2 linked regions of the Tribolium castaneum genome follow. The main gene of each other region encodes a partner of the protein of the gene in region 2 in a complex. Links are inferred from orthologs where the notes say so. Each region holds a gene or a part of one and is shown on either strand. Other genes may lie near its edges.

Region 1 (10,461 bases), about 32 Mb from region 2:
TTCATTGATAAAATTAGGTTCCCTAAAACTAGTGATTACTTATTAGGTAAACTGATAACTTTGTTTGTCTCTAGTAGGTTTTAATAGAAATAAACATCTCGTAAATAAAATGTCAACGTTTGACCTATGAACTTTATAAATGTGTTCTCGTTTTTTATTATTTACTAGTTCAATGGAATTTTTCTATACTCTAGTGTAATATTTGATATTTTCCACATAACACAAACGAAACAATGCTCAATGGAAATGACCAAGGCCTTTACAAATGTTAAACTAAAAAAAGGTATTTAAAATCGTCAGAAAAAAATCTTTAGAATTCCTTATGTACAACTTTTCCGTATCTAATTTTGCACAATTCAATACTTACGGCAATGATATCTTTGGTGGTGCTAGCGGCGTAATGGAACACCGAATCAGAGTTGTAATCGAGATGTTCCAAAGACGCATTCGCAGCAACCAAAACTTGCACCGTCTTCAAATTCTTCGTGGTAATAGCAACTTGTAGTGGCGAGATCCCAGTTTCATCATCAGTACTATTCAAATAATTGTTAATCTTAGAGTCTTTAAAAGAATCATAGAGACTAAAATACGCCGCCAAATGGGCCAAGTTCCAAGAGGGGTGTTCCGCAAGAACGTCACAAATCTTTTGCAAACCTTGCACATTATACATCTGAAATAAAATTCCAAATAATCGTCTTTTAACAACTACAGCAAATTACTTCTTTCGAAATCTCAACAAACGTGGGTAACTTATCCTTCAAGACACAAAATTTCACTTCAGCTTCGTCAAGATTTGGCGAGCGGTATAAACTAAAAATTGATTTTTTTAACAGTTGACGTGTTCGGGGGCACAAACCTGTAGGTTTGGTGTAGGCTTTCCGTGTACGGGCGATGGAGCACAATTTCGTAAGTGGCCCCTTTTTTCTTGTCAACTGTATTAGCTGGGAGGTAGAGGACCAATCCATCTTCCCGTAGGTGAATCGCTCGGTCGGAAAAAGCGTCTGATTTGGCGTCAATCACTTTGGTTGGGGCGGGTTCTGAACTGAGGAAGCTACGTAAAACTGCAAAATGAAGAATAATATTTGTACCATCACAAAGCAGGGGATTACCACTTGTAAATCCTTGGGCAAACATTTTATTACTTAATATCTATTCATACGGTTACGAACACTAATCACTCACTGAGATTGACTACCGATCATTGTGTTTTATTTAAGAAATTTGTGATTTCATAGTTCAAGGTTTGTTCGAACGAGCAATTGGGGAATGAGGTTAAATCACCGGCTCAGTAAATTTGCATTTAGATTAACATCATGTTTATTGATCGTTTTATTTTAAAACATTTTTCTCACTTACTCAGCGGAAATACTTTTGAAAATGAGAAAAAAATGGAATTTCTTGCACCACCTCGAGTAGAAACCTGTAATTTGTAATTGTCAAACGTCAACTGGCTTCGAGGTTAAGTGCAAGACCATTTGCTCGCTATAGTGGCGTAGGCATATAATGAGTAAATTCAAAATGTTTTCCGACGATTATGAGCAAGTGAGTGCTTCAAACACCTAAAACTTGAACAATTTATCCTTAAACCTACACTGGGTTCTATAAAACTCTAGTAAAAGCTTTGCAAATTGAACCATGTGTCTCAAGCCTATTTGTAAAAGTGTGGAAATAATACCGACCTACATGTTTAGCATGCACCATTCCCATAATTCGTGGCAGCAAAATTGACAATAAATTGGACACTGATTTTCATTTATTTCAGGGTTATGAATACAACAGCTATGATGAGTATGGGGCTCACACAGGAGACCCCAACTTGGACAACGAGTACAATAAACAGCACCTAAAGATGCCGGAAATAGTCAAAAACTTCCTAATCTATTTCCGCAATTGCGTGAATGAGGGTTTAATCTTTGAGTTGCAAACTTTGTATGAAACTTCGTGGCCAAAACTAACCGAAGATTATTTCGAGAAACGCCCCTGGCCAGAAGAGTCAGAAGTGTCAGCGCTAGTCGACAGTGATCCCGTGAGTAAATCCATGACTATTTTACCTTCCGCCTCGATTTTGTCTTTCACTTGGTCTAGTATTTTACCCCCAGTTTCACTCTCCTGGACATCCTTAATTTTTTCCTTTACGTGATCAATTATTTTACCTTCTGTGCCAATGTCTTGGACGTCCTTGATTTTCTCCCTAACGTGTTCACTTTTGTCTTTGAGTTCTTCAGAGATTTTCTCTTTGAGCTCTTCTTTTTTGCTCAGGAGTTGCCTTTTGTAATGCTCCATTGCGACTGTTGGAAGCAGTAGCAGGGAAAAATGAACATAAATGGGTTTTATTATGTCTTTAGCAAAAGGACACGTCAGAAGCGACCTAATTACAAAGAAATCGCTCAATATCTATGATTCTTTGATGTCTATTGATTGTAAAGTTTTTGCTTAAATATTTATTTACGCAGCATGGGCGAAAAAAATTGGTTTAAAATAATAATAAATACGACTTTTGGTTTTGGACTTTAATAATGCGATGAATAATATTAAAATAAATAAAAATAAATAAATAAAATAAAAATAGATTTAACGACAAAAAATAAACTTTGAATAAGGTGCTTACAAGGTCATATCTTTTCTAATACTATACAGTTTCGACGAAATTCTAAATTTCATTTCATTTAAAGGTAATCGATTTCAAAATAAATAAAACAGCTTTTTCCTACATTTTTTTGAATTAGGAGTATACCAAAGTCAATAATAGACAAATACATTTCCAATAATATTTTTTCTCGAGGCTTGAGACTTCTTGAAATAAATCATAAAATTTGCTTATTAAACGAATTTTTGTTCTATAAATAAGTAAAACGCTTAACCAAGTAAATTGCATAAACAAAAAAAATTATGTTATAATCAACTGAATTAACAGAACTGTCTTCACAATTTACTAAAGAATTAACTTTGAGTATTTACCAACGAAAATTTGAATACAAAGTCTTAATTAGGCCCAAAAAAATCGTGAGAATCTTCAAAGTAGATTATTTGTTGTCCTTAAAAACTCATGATAAGATAAATAAATTGAGATCTCAACGGGAAAACTATTCAACTGTTCGTCTCTCTTTTGAAAAATAAAATATGCTTTTAAAAATATAAGAAAATCAGTGATAAATCGTAATAAATAGACGGTACCTCAAGCATTTTCCTAAAAACAATGTTTAAATTAAACCTAGGTACAGAATTTTGTTGCATAAATAAGTAAAATCGTTAATCAGTCATTTAGTTAACAAAAAAAAAAACATGTAATGAACTAAATTAACCAGGAACTACCTCCACAATCTACTAATCATATTTCTGTCAACTTCTATTTTCAAATGGCCTATCTTTTTCAAAAAGATAGTAATATTTAAAGTGATGAAATTAATTGAAATGAAAATCGTTATAAGTAATTGATTACCGACTGGACGCGTATTCGCCTAATAAAAATTGAGTTTAAAATAAGTATAAAAATCTGTGAATATTTTCGAAAGAACAAAAATATTTACTCATAATAGAAATATTATGAATGATTTTTTTACGGATTCAGGTAATACTGAGGGAGTGTATACCAAATACAGCGTGCTCAAAAACTGGCGCACCAACTCAGTGGTGTGTGGTAGAGAACTGGTTACATATAAAGGTAAAAATAGTAAAAAAAATCTTTGTATTACTGTTATTGATAAATAACTAATTTTAGGTAAATGATATGTGGCAACGTTGTCTAACAGTCATGATTGCAATAGAATTTGAGCAACAATAAAAATAAATTATTTTTGAAACGGTTTCCTAGGAAATAATTCCCAGTGTTGGCACATCTACACATTGTGATTTTTTGGATGAGTTTTAATTTTTTTTAATTAAAAAAACTGCTAAAATCTGATAGTAAATTTTAAAATAATTATTCATTGTATTGTTACGGAACGATAACCTGGTATGAAACATAGAAATATAAAAAAATAATGAAAACTAAAGAAGTTAACACAATAAGTTTGTAGCTCCAGATTTTTTAAAATATAACTTTAGAAATTTATTCAACATTTTTCCCGTAATCTGCACTTGCTTCTCAATAACGTACCACTGAGTTGGTGCGCCAGTTTTTGAGCACCCTGTATATAAAAAGTAGTGAGATTACGGACGGGACACAAAAATTTATCTTACGTAACAATTTTATTATAACATGAAAACTTTAACCAAAATAAAAAAACAACTAACAGTCATCAAAAAAAGGAACACCATTCTTGGGAAATTAAATTACGTACGTTTAACAATTAATATTTTGTCCCAAACCTATATATAATTTTTGAATTGTATTTCAGTTATTTGACACTATTTATAGGAACATAACTTCCAATTTGAAAACGCTTGATTTTGTTCACGTATAGAATTCTCTACCATTATTAATTATTAATTTTTTGGGTTCAATGATTACAAATACGTGAAAATTATTATTTTCACTTACTTCTTGCGGGAAATATCCTATGCAACCCTTCTTGCAGGTGTTCATGATCCTGTACAAAGAGCTCTACTTCCGCCACATTTACGCGCGCATTCAAGGGGGCCCAACCCTCGAGCAGCGCTTCAATTCGTTCTACAATTACTGCGACCTCTTCAACTACATCCTAAGCGCTGACGAACCGGTGCCTCTAGAACTCCCCGACTTGTGGCTATGGGAATTAATCGACGAATTCGTCTACCAATTCCAATCATTCGCCCAATACCGGGCCCGCCTTCAGAAGAAAACCGCCCAAGAACTGGAGACTCTAAACTCGCACAATAAAGTGTGGAACGTACTTTGCGTTCTGAACGTGTTGCATTCTCTGGTCGACAAGAGCAACATCAAGCAACAACTGGAGGTTTGCGCCAGTGGGGGCGACCCCGATTCGGTGGCCGGCGAGTTCGGGAGTCACTCGCTCTACAAAATGTTGGGCTATTTTTCCCTGATTGGGCTTCTGAGGCTTCACTCTCTGCTCGGGGACTACTACCAGTCGATCAAAGTGCTGGAAAACATTGAGCTGCATAAGAAGTCGCAGTATGCGCACATCCCGGCTTGCTTGATCTCAACGTCGTACTATGTGGGGTTTGGGTACATGATGATGAGGCGCTATTCTGACGCAATTCGCACGTTTTCGTCCATTCTCTTGTACATTCAGAGAACCAAGCAATTGTTTGCTTCTAAAAGTTATCAGCACGACCAGATTAACAAGCAAACGGATCAGATGTACCACTTGTTGGCCATTTGCTTGGTTTTGCACCCGCAGTGTATCGACGAATCGATCCAGCAAACTCTGAGAGAGAAAAGCTACCATGAGAAAATGTACAAGATGCAGTATGGGGACCTCCAGGAGTTTGAAAATTGTTTCGTTTTCGCTTGTCCTAAGTTTCTTTCGCCGTGTCCTCCGCCGGTGGATTCCATCCCTGATGATTATTCGAAGGAGGCGATCCGCCACCAAACTCAAGTTTTTATGGACGAGGTCCAGCAACAAAAAATGTTGCCAACGATTAGAAGTTACTTGAAGTTGTACACCACTTTGCCCATTGCCAAGTTGGCGACTTTCATGGCGCAGAATAAGAACAGTGAAGGGAAGTTTGATGTTGATAAGGAGACGCAGAATCTTTTGATTCATTTGTTGTGCTTCAAGCACAAAATGAAGAATGTGGTGTGGTCGAAGGGCTCGTCGGGGCTGGAAGGGAAGCTGGAGAGTGGCTCAGAGGTAACATTTTGTAATTTTTGGTTTTGTTTCGTAAAAAAATATTTCAGCTGGATTTCTACATCGATAATGATATGATTCATATCGCCGACACGAAAGTGGCGCACAGATACGGCGATTTCTTTATAAGGAAAATTCTCAAGTTTGAGGATTTGAACAGGAAGCTTCACAATCTTAAATTCTAATGTAGAATTCGGTGTAATTTTTGCACTCAACGAATAAAATTGCTTAAAATAACTGTACTTTTCTTTTTTTCCTTAGCCACCTCAGTCACCTTTGTCTATACAAATTTGGAACAGGTATTAAAAATTTCACCTTATCTTTGATCACTATCATTTAACAAAGTTTTTTATTGATGCAAGATAAATCAATTAAACCTCTTTTATCTTTTAAGTATCATTGAGTTTAATTAGGCATTTATATTCAGTTTATTATTCGTTTGCAACTGAAATGGATAAATAGTTTATTACTTAATATTTTTCTAACTTTTTGGAAACACTAGTGAGAAAATTATTTCTCAACAAAAGCGTGAACGCAAAATTAGACTTTTATAAAAAATAATAAACAAAATTGTTTCCTTTTCCCTCACAGATTAGTTTAACTTTATATTAAATATTTGTAACCGAATCGATTAATTTATTTTATTCTTCGACACTGTCAAAATTTACGGTTTTTCTCCTGTGTAAGGAAGTTTTGACAACTGTTTGGCATTTCTCAGTACGAAACGTCAGATTATTTTTAACAAATTTAAAGCAATTTTAAGCCTTGCTGAGTCTATTTCGAAGAATAAAATGTTGTATTCAACTCGTTTTTGTGTAAATCGGTTCATTTATTTCGCCTCGTGGATGATAAACCACTCGTTTTCACTCGTGGTTTAAAAATCCACTCGTGAAATAAAGCGTCCGATTTACACTCAAACTCATTAAATAAATAACTATTACAAAAAAAAATTAAGTTGAAATAGAATGCCTTAGCAACGCACAATTTTGATTCATTTGCTTAGATTTAAAATTTTCCGTTTTGAAACTTTATTTAGAGAAACATTTTTTGTATAAAGAAACACCGTCTTGTTTCCGAAAAATACATAGAAAAAATTCGAGGCTTTGTTATCAGCAGCAGCAATCACTCGTAGTTGTGACTTAATACTTGAATGCGAAATTTTTATTGTAAAAATTCTCTTATCACTTATTGTAAAAATGTTGCATTTGACAATGATTTAGCATTGCTCATGTAGTCACAGTTCTAATTTGTGTAAAATTCGCTCAATGAACAAGTATTGCAAGTTAGTTTCACGTCTTAATCAACACATGCGCATAAAAGATATTTTAAAATTTTTTGCGCTCAGAAGTGAGTATATTTTATTTTTTATGAAATAAGTGCGTTCCATTCGATTCGAAAACAGTGGCAAAGAGATAAATAAAACATGAGTCATTTGCAATTAGAATTGGTCAAAACACGTAACTGCAAATTTTAATTAACTTTTTTAATAATCTAATAAGTAGTAGATAAAAATCACGGTACAAAATTACTCATGCGCTCTGCTGATTATGTATTCTGCATATGCTAACACGTGACTACATACCTCAGTGCTACCACAGCTTCGTGACTTTATTTCAACATGTCTGAAGAAATAGCACAAGGTACAATTTAACGTTCGTTTCCTTTACGTTTCGTTGATGTTTTGACTTTAAATCGTGACAAATGTCTGGCTTTAAACCTCTGTGATTTATCCTTGTAATGCCTACTGTCTGTATCACTTGTCTGTCTGAACTGGGCCCAAGGATGGACGTCTTCACTATCATCAACTTCAACCTCATCCAGCCACGTCTTGTACCTCATCTGGAATATTCTAAATCCCTTTTGGAAAAATCCACTTTGCGATAATGTATTTTCCTACAAATTAAAATTGCAATGACAGTAAATCTGAAGTGGCTTAAGTGATAAAATCTTGAATGGAAAAATAATCACCTTATCATTTGAGATATCTTTGCACTTCTTTTTAAAATCGTGCAAACATTCCATAAACTTCTTATTCGGCTTCACGTTCTCTCGCAAACTAATTTCCATTATTTCAAGTACGTAGGGGAAGTTTTTGTGGTAGCAAGCCTGGTGCAGCATCGCCCCCAAAATTTCAGTATTTAGCCTAAAGTTATAAAATAGTTATTTAATTAATGAAATCGTCAAGTACTCAAATATCATTATTTAGGTCCAGAACCGTCCACAAAATGTTCAATTTCAATTTTTTATAAGAAATTATATGACTTCCAAACACTAAAGTAGTTGAACCAAAATTACAGTCGAACAAAGTGAAAATTACGCCTCAATAAACCAGTTCCTGCTGGTAACATCCTTCAGGAGTCAGTTTACAGAATGCGAAATTAAAATTTAATTCAGAATTAAATTAAATACAATTAAGTTGCCATTTATTTTGCACTGATTAACGTCAAGTTAAATTAAAATGTAAATTTTTTAGTGAAAAGTTTAACAACCATGTCATCATTTTTTTCTGTCTTATCGGTTTAACTTTATTCATCAATGTTTAGTCAGGCGTCATTTTCATTTTGTCCGCCTGTACACTTTATATAATCGAGTAAATCTGCTAAAAATATTTACTGTATCTCAAAAACTAATGAATACACAGAAATCAGCATTTATTTAATTTAATTAATTAAAAATATTACTAGGGTGTTAATAATTAGTTGAAATTTTAGTATCTTTAGTGTCAAATGAACGATTCTTAAATGATGTTTTGAGGAAAAAATACGTAAAAAAATTGGTTTTGTCCCCAAATTAGATAAGTAACGTAATTTTGATTAAAGGCATGGTACAAAAAATTTCAACTTTACGGGCTGTTTAAAAAAAAAGTTTTATGTTTGAGCTACCTATATGAGTGTGCTTCCATTTCTTTCAGTAATTCTAAAGCCTCTTCTTTAGTTTTACAACCCAGCGATAAAACCCCATACGTTATCAAATTTGGTCGATAGTTATATTTTTTCATGTCGTTCAAAACGGCCTAAAATCATCAAAATGAGACAGGAAATTTTCATTTTATTTATTCCTGCCTTTGCGCTTTCATAATCAAACCGCATACTCCTCTTCTTAATCAACATATTGAAAAAGTCAATGTCCGGCTTAACCCCAAGTCTTTTCATTTCTCGTAAGAGCTCTTTCTCAGCAGCTTCACTTCCAGGTAAGCAGTCCAAAAGTTGGGTAAACGACTTAATATCAGGCGTGCAACCACTCTCCGTCATATTCCCCAAAAAACCCCTCAAACCCCCAACTAGCAGCAACCTATCCTCAGGCTTGGTAATTTCAGACAACGAAATAATATTCCCTAGATGGGGCACTCTTGCCATGAGATTCGGGCGGCAATGGTCGACTTCGCCCACTAATTCGTTACTTTGGATCAAACATTTGCCATCGTTTGAGCCCTCTAGCAACAATTTATTGTCACCGCCACTCAACCGCAGATTTTTTTTTAAAATTATTTGCAACGTTTCGTTCGTAACTTCCAAATTACCAAGCCCGCAGTCACGAACACACCTCAAGATTAAGTTGTAAGTGTACAAGTTTGGCGCAATTCGCTTGTCTACCATTTTGCGCCAGAGCAACAAAGCGTGGCGAAAGCCCGCTTCCCTGTCCTGGATGCAAGCTTGCAGCAGGAAGTTCATCGTATCTCCGGTGATTTTGACTTTTTTCGCGGCCATTTCGTCAACTAATTTGAACGCAGCTGGGAGGTCACCACAGCGCCCGAACGCTTTGATCATGGCGTGATAATTTGTGTCGTTCGGTTCGTACATTTTCTCTATCATTATGTTTTGCAGCTTTCGGGCTCTGGTTAGGCCGTCTTCTGGCCAGGGGCTGTTGGCACAGGCGTTGAACAACGCTGTGTACGTGCCAGCTGTGATTTTCAAGCCGCGTTTTTTCATCTGGTTGTAGACAGAAAACGCCTTTTTCGTGTACCCCACACGGCCGCAAGCGCCGATTAATAAATTGTAGATGTAATTTTCTGGCTTGACTTTGTCTTCCTTGATCATTTTCACCTCAACCACGTCGATTGCTTCCTTGATTTTGTGTTGCTTGATCAGTGCTTTTATCATGTCGGCGTACTGTTTTGTGCTTTGCCGTTTCAAGGGGATTGTTTTTTCGGACCAGTCCTTTTCCTCTTCCAGGTCTTTTTCGTAAATTTCCTCCCTTTCTTCGGGGTCGCCAAAGGTGTCAGGGTCATTTTTGAGACGTACTAAAAACTCCTGCTCGGTTTTTTCTTGTGGAATATTTGCAGCATGTGAGAATAATCGTGTGTTGGAGGTTAGAACTTCGGTTTGGGCATTTTCCCGAAATTTACAGTTTAGCAGGTGTGGGTATTGCTTAATATTTAGCAATGTATTTGCTTTTTGTGGCTTGCCACTTTTTACGGCTTGTTGTGCCAGAAATTTTAATAATTTTAAACGATACATTTAATTTTTTGCTTCCATAACCTCAAAACACAATTGCTGACAATTGACAGGTTCCAGCTGTGCCAACACATGAGGCAAAAAATTCAAAATATTTTTTTCAATAATAATTAAATTGTCGTTTTGGAGATAAGGTAGTCTTAAAGATAAGATTATAATTAGTCTTCTTAAAGACATTAATATTTTTTGTATAAAAATTATCTGGTTTAACAATAAAATGTAGTTTTTTTCATATTATTACAGGAAAAGACTGATACTTGCCTTATTTTCTCTATTTT
Region 2 (11,569 bases):
TTTATACAGGTTGTTCCGTCTAAACCCCACATTAATAAAAATACTTAGCTGAATACTTAGTTGAGTTATTTTAAGGCCGTTTTAATCAGCTTACCTTATACCCAAGTCTAACGGCTTTCGAAATATTTAAGATTTTTTGAAAATTTTTGGATTTGCACCTGTCGCTTAAAAAATCGGTAACTTTCTTAGTTTTAGAGATTTGGAAATCATATTTAGAGAATTAAAAGAGAAGGTGTTTATCTGTTCTCCAGTGTGTTCAAAATTGGAAAAGAAGTTAACAAACCCAAAAATTTTATGTTTAAGTTTGGACAATTTCAAGTACCCATAACTTAATTTTTTCAAATGGGATGTCCCAATTTTTATTTACTAGATATTGTAGAATTTTTTCTGCAACGATCTGTATAAGCATTTCCCATATTTATCTGTGATAATTTTCAAGTTATGTTGTTTTTCTTGATATTGTAAAAAATTTCTTACTAACCACAGCTATTTTTGCATAGTTTGCCATAAAAACATTTCTGATTAAACAAACAACAAAATTGTGTTCACCGTCCTGTGAAAACAAAATAAATTTATAAAAAAAAAACTTTAATTTTTCACATTTTTTCTCTCGTTGCCATGGCAGCCTATATGGAAATTTCTCAATCCCTACAAAAAGTTATTGTAACTTGAAAACTATTAAACATAAGTATAGGGAATGCTAATACAGATCGATGCAGAATTAAATTCTTTACGATTTAATGAAATAAAACTTGTGGCATTTCATTTGATAAAATTGAGTTATGAGTGCTTAAAGTTCAGCAAACTTAACTTTAAAAATTTGGGTTTTATTATTTTTTTTTAGAAATTTCAGAACACCAAAGGAAAGATCTAGACTTCCTCTTTCAAATGAGCTAAATAATATTACCAAATTTTAAAAAATATTTATAACCAACTAGATTTTACTCAAAATTTGATATAATTTTCCATTTATAACGAACTTTTCACCGAATTCTGGGGAATATGTTGGGGATGATAATGAGAAATTAGCAAGAGAAGTGTTAATTAATGAACAAATTATTGAATTACTGACTGATTGTTGTGCAAAATAATATTTTATGATAGAAGAGTTAAAAAAAGTCAAAATAAACCACCTTGTTTTATCTAACTTTTGAAACATAGCACTTTAGCGACTAAAAATTCGTACAAATAACGCAATATCAACTAGGTTTTACCTCTTTTGAGTACTTTTTTCGAAAGTTTACATGACTAATGGGATTATTTTTGAATGAAATTTTGGAAGCTAATAGTTCTGTAATCGTACCAAATCTCATTTAGAAAAAAAGTAAAAAATCTCTAATTCAGACAGTAAACAAAATTCAAGATGACTATAAGTACATTCAGATCACGCAAGTTGAGTTATTTTCACTTCTTTTGAGCTGTACTACCACCCCTTAATGAAATTTTCAAATGACCAAGTGGGGTTTAGACGGAACCGCCTGTAGACTTACAAGTCGATCAAGCCCTTGCTTTGCGCTTTGCACTGGTTGATGATGTCTTCAGCGTCCATCACCTCCGACAACGTGACGTCCTGTAAAACCGCAATCAGGGGGTTTCCACAACTCCATGGGGGTTTTACCTGTTTGGCGAGCAGGGCGTCGAGCTCCGACGACGAATTGTTGTTGTATTTCCAAAACATGGTAATTTCTGCAACGCAATGTCAAAAATGACGTGATTTGTGACAGTTTTTTACCTTTTTCGTGACTCTAGAGACGTTGGGTTAGGTTCATCTGAAATGACCTTTGTTATCAAACGCTTGGTTAAATGCACACTTTACACAGATACGGCTAGCGATAATAAACAGCATATCACAAATTTCATAGTAATTAAGACGAGCTTCAGGTAAAACACGCAATTTATTCGGTTGGTTGCAACACTTTTAGACAATAATATAAATGACAAAAATGACCACCATCTAATCCCACAATGCACTTGTTGATCGAGGGGGAAATGACAGAACGTGGCGCCAAATTCAAATTCAAACTTTCAACTGGCTTCCGTGAATTATTTGAAATCGGACAATATTGCGTTTTGGACTCTTTTTTCCAAAAATCCACTTTTTCATTTTGTAAGAAATTGTTATTTGTCGATTTTGCTCAGTTTATGAAATACATAGTTTAATTTTTTTGCCAACAAAGAACAGATTATTGACAGATTCGAACGTTTCAGAATTAAAAACTACTCTTTTTTTGGCCATATAGTAATAAAAGTGAGTCAAAAATTACGTAATTAGATCCAAAATTACTTTCTGTTTCGAAAGATTGCATTGAAAAAACAAAACAATTTTTACATTTTTTAACTGTTATGGCACGTCGTTAAAGTATAATAAAAGTTTATCTTGTTTTGCAAATTCTCGCTTAAAGAAACGAAAAACACATTATTTCTCTGCTTTTTGATAAGATTCTAGCTTAAATCTCATTTTAAATTAAATTAAATTAAATTCACCGACTAATCGCACGGTTGATTGAAATTTTTGTTATAAAATAAAACGAGCCAAAAAAATCTAATTTTAAATTTCCCGCTTTCGCTGTCTCACAGTTGCCGCACAACAACAAACCACTCATCTTGAAACCACCCAATGAAATCGAGTTGGCTTGACATCATTTGTTTCAAAGCGTCTTTTCCTTTAGTTTTTTGTGTTGAAAAAGCAGTGTTTTGTGCGTATTTAGTGCCAAAATGACTAAAATTAACGTTTTGTTCAAAATGTGACATCACAGAAGTCACAGCCAACGCATTTTGGACGCCACTTTTTGGAAGCCACAAAATTGAGGTTAGTAATTTTTCAGTCTCAAAAAACACAAAACGTAACTAAATGCAGTAATACGGAGCTGAAAATTTCATTATTTTTGCTTTTTCGAATGTTTTAGTTACATTTCACAAGTTGGAAGCGCCGGAATAAAATTTACCAAAATTATTTTCGTAATTAAATTTCAGTTTCAAACGAACGAAAAACACATTAACAAGGGCTTTATTTGTGTATTTTCTGTCAAAAAGTCAAAAAGCTATGACAGATAAATCCATAAAATCCGGGTTTTTGTTAAAAAAAAACAGAACATAGTTAGGTATTTTATTTTGGAATACTCTGTATACAGATTAAAATATTTTTAGAACGTGCCTAATAAGTCTTACAATAGTAAACCTAGCGTTTCAAAAAAATTCAACTTGATAGCTTGCATAGAAAAAAAGTTATGGAGCACCTGTATAATCATTATTTAAAATCATTGCTCCGAAAACTTAGACTTGGACGTAATCTAGGAACAAAAACAACCAAACTGTTTTATTAAAAAATTTATTAATACCAGCTATCCATTTAATAATCGAAATTATACTCAAAATATGACGAATCGAAATTATGCACTCTCACATAACCATCTTCACCTCCTGAACTATAACTCTTGCCATCTGGATGAAACGCCACACTATTAATCGGCCCAAAATGCCCTTTAACCCTCCCAAACTCTTCTTCAAACACCATATGGAAAAACCTCGAGTCAAATTTCCCAACCCTTGCCGACGTGGTTGTCACATCCATGGCATCTTGCCCTCCGCCCACAACCACATGCTCAAAAATGGGGCTAATGGCAGCTGAATTAACCGGCCGTTCTGTCTTGTAAGTCTTCAGTAACATCAAATCAGCAGCGTCGAACAGTTTAGCTGTGTGGTCTTTGGACGCTGTCACAAACATTGTCCCGTCTTTATTCCACTGCATATCGTTGATTAAATGTTCGTGTTCACGTGTTGAACTGATCTCTTTGCCTGACTTCAAGTCCCACTTGATCAAATCCCCGTTTTCGTGCCCGGTTATTATAGTTTCGTCCAGGTTATCCCATAGGATTGACGAAACACGGGAACCTTTAATCGGGATGCGTAAAATGGGGTCGGCGTGCGAGATGCTTTCGTCCACGTTACGGACGTCAATAATGAAGATCTCGCAGTTGTGTTTGAGGGCTTTGTCGGTGGTGTACACTGCCATGTTGCCCGAGTAGCTAAACAGACACGTTCGGACTGATGAATTGGTTGAGATGTTCCCGATTTCTTTGCCCGTTTCACAGTCCCATACTTTAAGGGTGTTGTCACCGGCACCTGACAGGAACCTATAAAGTTTAAATAGTTTAAAAAGTAGCAAAATAGGTGATATTTCTGGTCTAAGTAGTATTTGATTAAATCAGTAAAAGCAAATTAATCAAAACTTGTACAGGGTGTCTCACCTAAAACTTTCGAGATTAATATCTGTTTTATTAATTTTAATTTTAAAATTACGATTTTAAGACTTCAGTTTTTGCATTAATTGGATTTTAATCTTTACTTTCCTAAATATCTGCATTTTAATTTTCATAAAAATACGTTGACAAATAACTGAGATATCAGGCTCAAAAGTATTAGGTGAGGCACCCTGTATATTCGCTACTGAGGCAACCTTATCGCGCACCCATTTGCTTTATTGCAGCAATAAATTTATTATTATTATTAACCTAGTGGTGGTCCAGTCGACGTCGATGCACCAGACAGCCCCCTGGTGGCCGTTGAAGGTTCCCAACCTCTCGCCATTAAGGGAGTACCAAACGTTGGGTTTGTTGTCCTTTGAGGAGGAGAAGAGGAGGTCGCCCTCACGGTTGTACTTGATTTGGGTGATGGCACGTTCGTGGCCGTGGAGTAGAAGGGGTTTCTGTGGGGGTTTTGAGGTTAAATTTAAGCGAACAATATGTGGGTGAAATTGTGGGGTAATGTAATGTTTTACGGTTGTGGGGCGTTTTTTTCGATTGATTGTGAGTCGTTACTTACCATTTTGTTAAAAAACTGGGCGTTTTTTTAAGGATTTTAATGATTAAACACGCTTTTTTTGACGGTTGTTTGACAGAAGAGGTGTCAAAATTAACTGTCATGGTGGGTTGTGCAGTGGCGGGGTTAAGTCAGTGCCGGCTCAGGTGAAATAACCGTATTGTCAAAATTAACTGATAAATGGCGTTATTGCCATTTTGGCAATTTTTAGCAGTTGGGAAAAATATGTAATAAAATTAACTGTGATTATTGATTAAAAACTCTTTGGGCCTTTACTGATTTTTTTTTTTAATTATTATCTTTACAAACTTAATCTTTTAAAATAATATTTCATTGTAGCGATTTTGTTTATTTTTGTATGAAATAAAGGGCTTTTGGCAGTAAAAAAATTAAGTAGAGCCATTAATTTAAGACCTTGGGACCTTACAATCTTTTTTTTATCTCAACTTTTTAAACTTTATTTTTTCAACTCCCTTTTCGTGTTTTAATTTTTGTAGGAAGCAAAGCCTGATGATGGGAATTTGATTGTAAAAAAAATTAAGTGTGGATAAATATTCCCTGGGGCCTTACCTATTTTTTTTTCTTTTTTTTTTGGAAAATATTTTAATTTTTCAAACATTATTTTTTAACCCCCTTCCCATTTATTGATTTTGTTCAATTCTGCAAGGAATATATAGCCTAGCCATGAGACTTTCGACTGTAAAAAAATTAATTGATGACAAACATTCTGCTTACTGAATGTTTTTCTTTTGTTTTTTTGCAAATGTTTTACTTTTTAAACTTCATTTTTTTCAACCGGCTTTCCGTACTGCAATTTTGTTTATTATTGCAGGAAATAAAGCTCTTGGATAGTGTTCGACTGTAAAACAATCAAGTGGAGGTAAACACTCTTTAAAACCTAACAGATTTTTTCTTTTTATTTTCAAAATTATTTTGAATTTTAGAACTTAATTTTCGCAACGCTTTTACCGTGTAAATAATAAATATTTTTGCTAGTAATAAAGCGCTCCAGTAGGGCCTTGGCTTGTAAAAAAATGAAGTGGGGACAAATATTCCTTGTAATCTTATTGAATTTTTTTTCTTTTTTTCTTTTTTGAAAACTCCTTGACTTTTCAAACTTTATTTTTTCAATCTCCTACCCGTGTAGCGACTTTGTTAATTTTTGCAAGAACGCGTCCTACTGATTTCAGCAACTGTAAACTAAAGAAACAAAATGGGGATAAACACTTTTTTTCGAAATATGTACAGGGTGTAATAAAAAACAAAGAAACTAAAGATTTAATCCAACTTTAACTTACCTTTATATCAAGTCGCACATTTTAAAAGTTAAAGCCAAAGTTTTTGCTTGCTTAATAAAAAAAACTCCAATTAAAATCTGAACAAGAATTTTATTGTAAAATAACACAATACTCTAAATATTTACATACAATTGCGTCAATTTGTAATGAAAAAAAATCCAACTACTGAATAACATGAAATTTAGTTGCCCTTGAGTAGATTGCCTTTACTTGTTATCAACGAAGGACCCTTGTAATAACGAACCAAAAGACTAGACCCTCTTTTCAATTGATTACGACTCGACAAATCATTCCAACAATCAATCCAAGTGTTGTAGTGCAACATATAAGGGGGCGATCCAGCCAACAAACCCGAATTCGAGACAGCCATGCAATTTGACACCACTTGGAAGGGGTACATTATTGATGAGGACACCATCTGCGAAATGTGATTCTTGAACAACAAATACTATAAATGGTTTAGTTATTTTTTAGTCAAAATATTGGCAACAGTGCGGCCATAATCTCTGTGTTTTGAAAAAGTGCATTGTTGACCTTTGAAATTATTTTCAAGTGTACAGACTTTTTCCAGATATGAGTTACTTTTATAAAAAATACTTTTCAATAATATAGGACTTTTTCAAATCGCTGGGACAATATTTCATTGAATGACAGTCGGGCTCACCAACTGTGTTTTTTTTTAAATTCACTTACACACACAGCGGCTGAAGTATAATTTTGTATTTCCTTCTCTTCTATTAGATACTTATTGACAACATAAGTCAGACTGCTTGCCAACAAAACGGACAAAATATCCCCAATCAGTCTGGGTATGAGTCCGCTGAAAAAACCCAAAATTCCATTCTGTCTGTATATTTCACCAATGGAACCAAACACACCCCTGTAAACCCCCCAAAAATAATAATCTCCCCTAAAATCGAATACAGTAAACTAAACTTACACATATTTGGCTTCTTTTCCAACAAATTGTGCCATAATTCGTATAGTGATGACGTGAAACGGCTGACTGATGATTATGGCTGTTGTATGTGTAATGATATCGCCCTTGAGACACTTCAAAAATTTCTGTTTTCGATTTTCCTCAACATCTGTATCCTCTTCTTCGTCCTGCTGGTTCAAGTCCAAATATTCCATCATTTTTTGTGTAGCGACAAGATTTATCAAACTGCCGCATACTTTGGGGCCCAAGCCGCGATAACAACCCGACAAACCATCGACCGACTTGATGTGTTTGACTGTAATAAGGGGGCTGTTTATTTTCGGTTAAAAATTCGGGGGGTTTACCGTATTGGAAGATGTTTGGCAGTTTGAGGGCTGGTTTACCGAGCAGGGTTTTGGACGAGTGAGGCGGTATGGGTTCGTATCCGATCTGCAATGAGACAATCAGAATTTTCGCTCGATTTTCACCACAATTTCCTAACCTGTATGAGCACTTTGGCGTATTCGAATGGGTGCGATAAGGTGTTGAGGAAAATGCGAAGTCCGTATCCTGACCATTTGTTTTCGTTGTCTTTGACGACTTTCATCGTGGGTTTGTTTTTGGAAATTTTGGGAAATTGGTGAGACTTGGACACGATTTGATTTCTGTCAAAAGTGGGCACAACTGTCAATTGTGCCAACTGGGATCGCTTATCTTTTTGTGCGTGATAAACTGATAAAAAATGAAGAAAAGGCGGGTTTTGGGAGGATTATTTTTGTGTTTTTTTAAATAAATGTAATTGCAAATGTTCACGGTTGAAATAATACCGGCCGGTGTCTTACATAATACGAGGGAAATTTAAAAATTGTATTTTTTGTGCGTGTTAGGCAACCAGTTATACAAGACTGTTAAAAATACAATGTTTGATTGGAATGTAATGATTATTTAATACAACGTCTTACCTTATTTGTTTTTGGCTTTGAATGTTCCCGCTGTTTATTTAACACCCTAAAATTTGTTTAATGTTTTTTTTGTCTTATTTAAATACAAATTCACTTCTTACCTTGTTTGTGTAAGGGATGGTGAAGCTCAATTCTGTATGGTTAAGATGTGATTTTTTTTTTAATTTAATAACTTATTTCAAGACCAAGTTATACAGTACGAGTATATTAAAAAAACACTTATTTTTATTTTTTTATTTTTTTTAATTTAAAGATGAGTACGCCACGCAAAAAAGGCACAAAAACTGTTATCGCCGGTACGCCGTACTTATGTGCAGATTAGTGTGTTGTTAGTTCGGCTTTGATTCGTGTGTTAGTGGATCATTATCATGAAAAATCAAACAAATCCTGAAATGACCGATATGATTCTGTGTTACGGAAGTGCAGATGGACTTTCTGAACATTTTTTATAACTGTAAGTAGAAAGAGTATTTTTTATTTGGAGTTTTTGCTTCACTTCACTTCACTTAAATAATTTTTCCGAGGCCAACTACTTTAAAATATTTTAAATATATTTTTTATCAATATAAAAATATCAAGCTGTATTTATATTGTTTTCAGTTCAAAAAAAAAGCTTTTCGAAAATGTCATAGCCAACTAAGATTCCTATTTAAAAATATACAACTTTACATTATTGAACTTAAACGAACTGTTAAAAAAAATCTCTGATAACATTACTAAATTCTACGTAAAAAAGTGCCTCTATAATGTTTTTGTTTCAAATGTATATCTTTTATAATAAGGATGATATGAATTGTTTAAGATTTCGCTAAAACATCAACTTTTGTTTATAAGTCGAAAACAAAAGATTATTGTGTAAATTAGATGAAATAACTATGACATTTTGCTGTCCCAAAACTTTGTGAAACCAAGTAGAAAACATTTTTAAATGATCGCTTGAGTTACTGTTTTCTTAATAAACAGGGAAAAAGGGGAAGATGAAATAAATGCAATTCAAGAAGAAGTAATTTTAATTTTATTACAAACAAAGAACACAAATAAATAGTCAAGTTTTACGTTATAACCTTTTTTTTCTCGAAGATTCGAAATATTAGAGCTTTATATTAGCATTCAAAGCTTCAGTGAAATGTTTTTGCAATATCAGAGATGGCCGCTTTCGACCCAAAAACAACAGCAAGCAACGCCATACAAACAACGACCAAATGTTTAAACAATTTCCAATAAAACTTCCCAAATCCCTGATCCCAAAACGTAAATATTTCGATAATCACAGGACATACAAGTCCCAAAATCGAGAAACAAAACGCTCCGATTAAACCGACAAACGGTACAATGGCAGGCACTAGAATCGCAATTATGATATTTATCATCACAAGAATAGTTCTTAGGGCGTAATTAGCAAGTGCTGTTTTGGTGGTGAAACGGTGCTTGATTTCGGTCCAGAAAATGTCCAAACACACGTAAAACACTAGACCGTAAGTGAAGAATACTGCAAGGCCGATAAGGAGATTCACAGCTTGGGCAGCACTGAAATAAATTTTTTTTAGCACTTTTTCAAAAAGTATTAACAATTTGTTAAAAAAACTGGTTACATATTTGAAATCTTTTGATAATTTTGTACCAAAAATACTTTTTCTCTTCAGTTTGTTGATTTTTGTGGCCTTCAACATTATAATTCCAGTGGTAGACAGTGCTCAAAAGTCAAAAATTACGGTTGTATCTCAAAGATTAGTTTTTAATAGGTAAATGCCAATTCTTCGAAAATATATCGAAATATTCGATATAAAAACGAAAACCAGAAACGGAAAATAAAAACTGATAACATATTCTAAATCCTTGGAGAATTTTCCTTATTCTGTGTTCAATATGTTGATTTATGTGACCTTGAAAAATTATATTCTAGCACTTAACTAGAGACGAACAAATTTCAGCCAAAATTTAGAAACCAACAAAGATAATTAAAAATCGATTACATATTCGAAATCGTCGATTAATTCTGCATCAGAAAGATAAATAAAAAAATAAATTGTTGATTTGTGGCCTTGAAAATTTATCAAAAAATTGCTAATATGCTCAATAAACGATTAATGATAAACAAAAACCGAATTCGAGTTCGAAACGCTCGACCATTTTTTTCGTTACATATACAGGGTGACTCATAAGTTATACCACCACACCCACTTGACTCACCCTGTATACGATATACTTACTATTCCTCTCGTGGAAGATTCAACGTGATTGAATCAGCCGTAAGATCACCATATTTGAGATACCCTAAGAAACCTAAAATTATATACAGGATGGTCACATAAGTCATCCCTTGATTAAGTACTCCAAAAAGTCCGACGAATTTTTGTGGCGATTTCATGTTGTTTTCAAGTGGCATTACCTAGAATTATTAATAAAAAAGTGCCAAAAATTTCGAAAAATAACTCACAACTCCGATAGCTTCAATTGCAAAAATCACTATACTGATGCAAACAGGCAACGTTGCCAGATTTGTCACTGCCGGTCTGTCAGAAATGGACGGAATGTCATTCAGGAGATAATAACACGTGATCCCTAATCCTATAGCCATACAAAAATTGGCAACCATGGATACTGGTGCCAAATACTTCAAATTTGGCACGTAGGCAATGAGCAAAAAGGGCAAAAACAACATAGCTATAGTGATTCTTTTATCAAAATTCCCTAAATAGTTGAAGGCCACGTAATTGAAATTCTCGGCAACTATAACAGCATAGCAACTTCCTGTGGCGTAATAAGTTACGAAAATCGCCCATAAGACCAATTGTTTGAGCAAGAAGGCGTATTTTTTCGCCCAGGGGGGTCCCCGAAGACAGGATTCTTCGGCAACTTCCGCATAGCTCATCGACGTTTTGCCCGCTTTGCGGTACAAGGCGTGAGCCGAGGTGACTAGAGCATAGGCAGTGTGTGTGCAAATTAGGGATACCAACATGGTGGTGATGACACCAAGCCAGAGGCCGGAAGCTTTGAATGCTGCAGGCATTGAGAGGATGCCGGTGCCGAGGGAGGATTTGAGGAGGTGGGTGAGGGTGGCGCCGCTCCTGAAACACATACAATATTTTTTCTACAATCACAAATTTTCAACAAAGAAATGGTTCGATATTGCAAATTTTGAAAATGTACTTACGAATTAAGTTGGTGGAGATTAGGCACATACAATGTTTTTTCAACGATTCGAAAAAATTTTGAAAAAAAATAAGTTTTTGGTATTTTGAAAATGTAGTTACGAATTAGACTGTTCTAGTTTGAACACATACAACGTTTTTTCTACGATTTGAAGAAATTTTTGAAATTGGTGTCGAAATTACCTTTTTTGGTATAAATAAATATACAGACCGAACCAATGGTCATTTGTTAATATTAATGGTCACTTTTTAAAAAATCTTGGAACAGGACGATTTTATTTTTTAAATGGTACATTTGTAATGTCATGTGTTTTTTGAGTTGTAACGTTCTTTTAAATTTTTTTAAATGCCGACCAACATTTTTGTTTACTGTTTTAAATTCTACACATCTTTATCTTTCTGATAATGAGAACAAAAAAA

What was found. Proteins that work in one complex are often made in the same cells at the same time.
Region 1: eIF3i (region 2) and eIF3l share a complex: the UniProt entries of both Drosophila melanogaster proteins name them as parts of the eukaryotic translation initiation factor 3 (eIF-3) complex. The link is inferred for Tribolium castaneum from reciprocal best matches to the Drosophila melanogaster genes eIF3i and eIF3l.

What each region holds. Positions count from the first base shown.
Region 1 is NC_087394.1:32,520,358-32,530,818, reverse strand, and holds eIF3l (eukaryotic translation initiation factor 3 subunit L), read left to right. Parts: upstream 1-1,419; 5' UTR 1,420-1,503; coding exon 1,504-1,542; intron 1,543-1,679; coding exon of another isoform or gene 1,680-1,707; exon of another isoform or gene 1,708-1,762; coding exon 1,763-2,026; intron 2,027-2,153; coding exon of another isoform or gene 2,154-2,283; exon of another isoform or gene 2,284-2,538; intron 2,539-4,517; coding exon 4,518-5,732; intron 5,733-5,779; coding exon 5,780-5,914; 3' UTR 5,915-5,966; downstream 5,967-10,461. Other genes in the region: iPLA2-VIA (85/88 kDa calcium-independent phospholipase A2), read right to left, coding at 368-670, 720-810, 857-1,061, 2,154-2,283; pentatricopeptide repeat-containing protein 1, mitochondrial, read right to left, coding at 7,377-7,622, 7,698-7,872, 8,612-8,742, 8,792-10,186. UniProt on the Drosophila melanogaster protein: Component of the eukaryotic translation initiation factor 3 (eIF-3) complex, which is involved in protein synthesis of a specialized repertoire of mRNAs and, together with other initiation factors, stimulates binding of mRNA and methionyl-tRNAi to the 40S ribosome.
Region 2 is NC_087394.1:745,659-757,227, forward strand, and holds eIF3i (eukaryotic translation initiation factor 3 subunit I), read right to left. Parts: upstream 4,950-11,569; 5' UTR 4,825-4,949; coding exon 4,822-4,824; intron 4,706-4,821; coding exon 4,512-4,705; intron 4,134-4,511; coding exon 3,350-4,133; 3' UTR 3,313-3,349; downstream 1-3,312. Other genes in the region: fmt (serine/threonine-protein phosphatase 6 regulatory subunit 3), read right to left, coding at 1,491-1,570, 1,619-1,678; mitochondrial carrier homolog 2, read right to left, coding at 6,298-6,564, 6,810-6,996, 7,057-7,351, 7,401-7,485, 7,538-7,642; proton-coupled amino acid transporter-like protein pathetic, read right to left, coding at 9,116-9,524, 10,208-10,386, 10,435-11,065. UniProt on the Drosophila melanogaster protein: Component of the eukaryotic translation initiation factor 3 (eIF-3) complex, which is involved in protein synthesis of a specialized repertoire of mRNAs and, together with other initiation factors, stimulates binding of mRNA and methionyl-tRNAi to the 40S ribosome.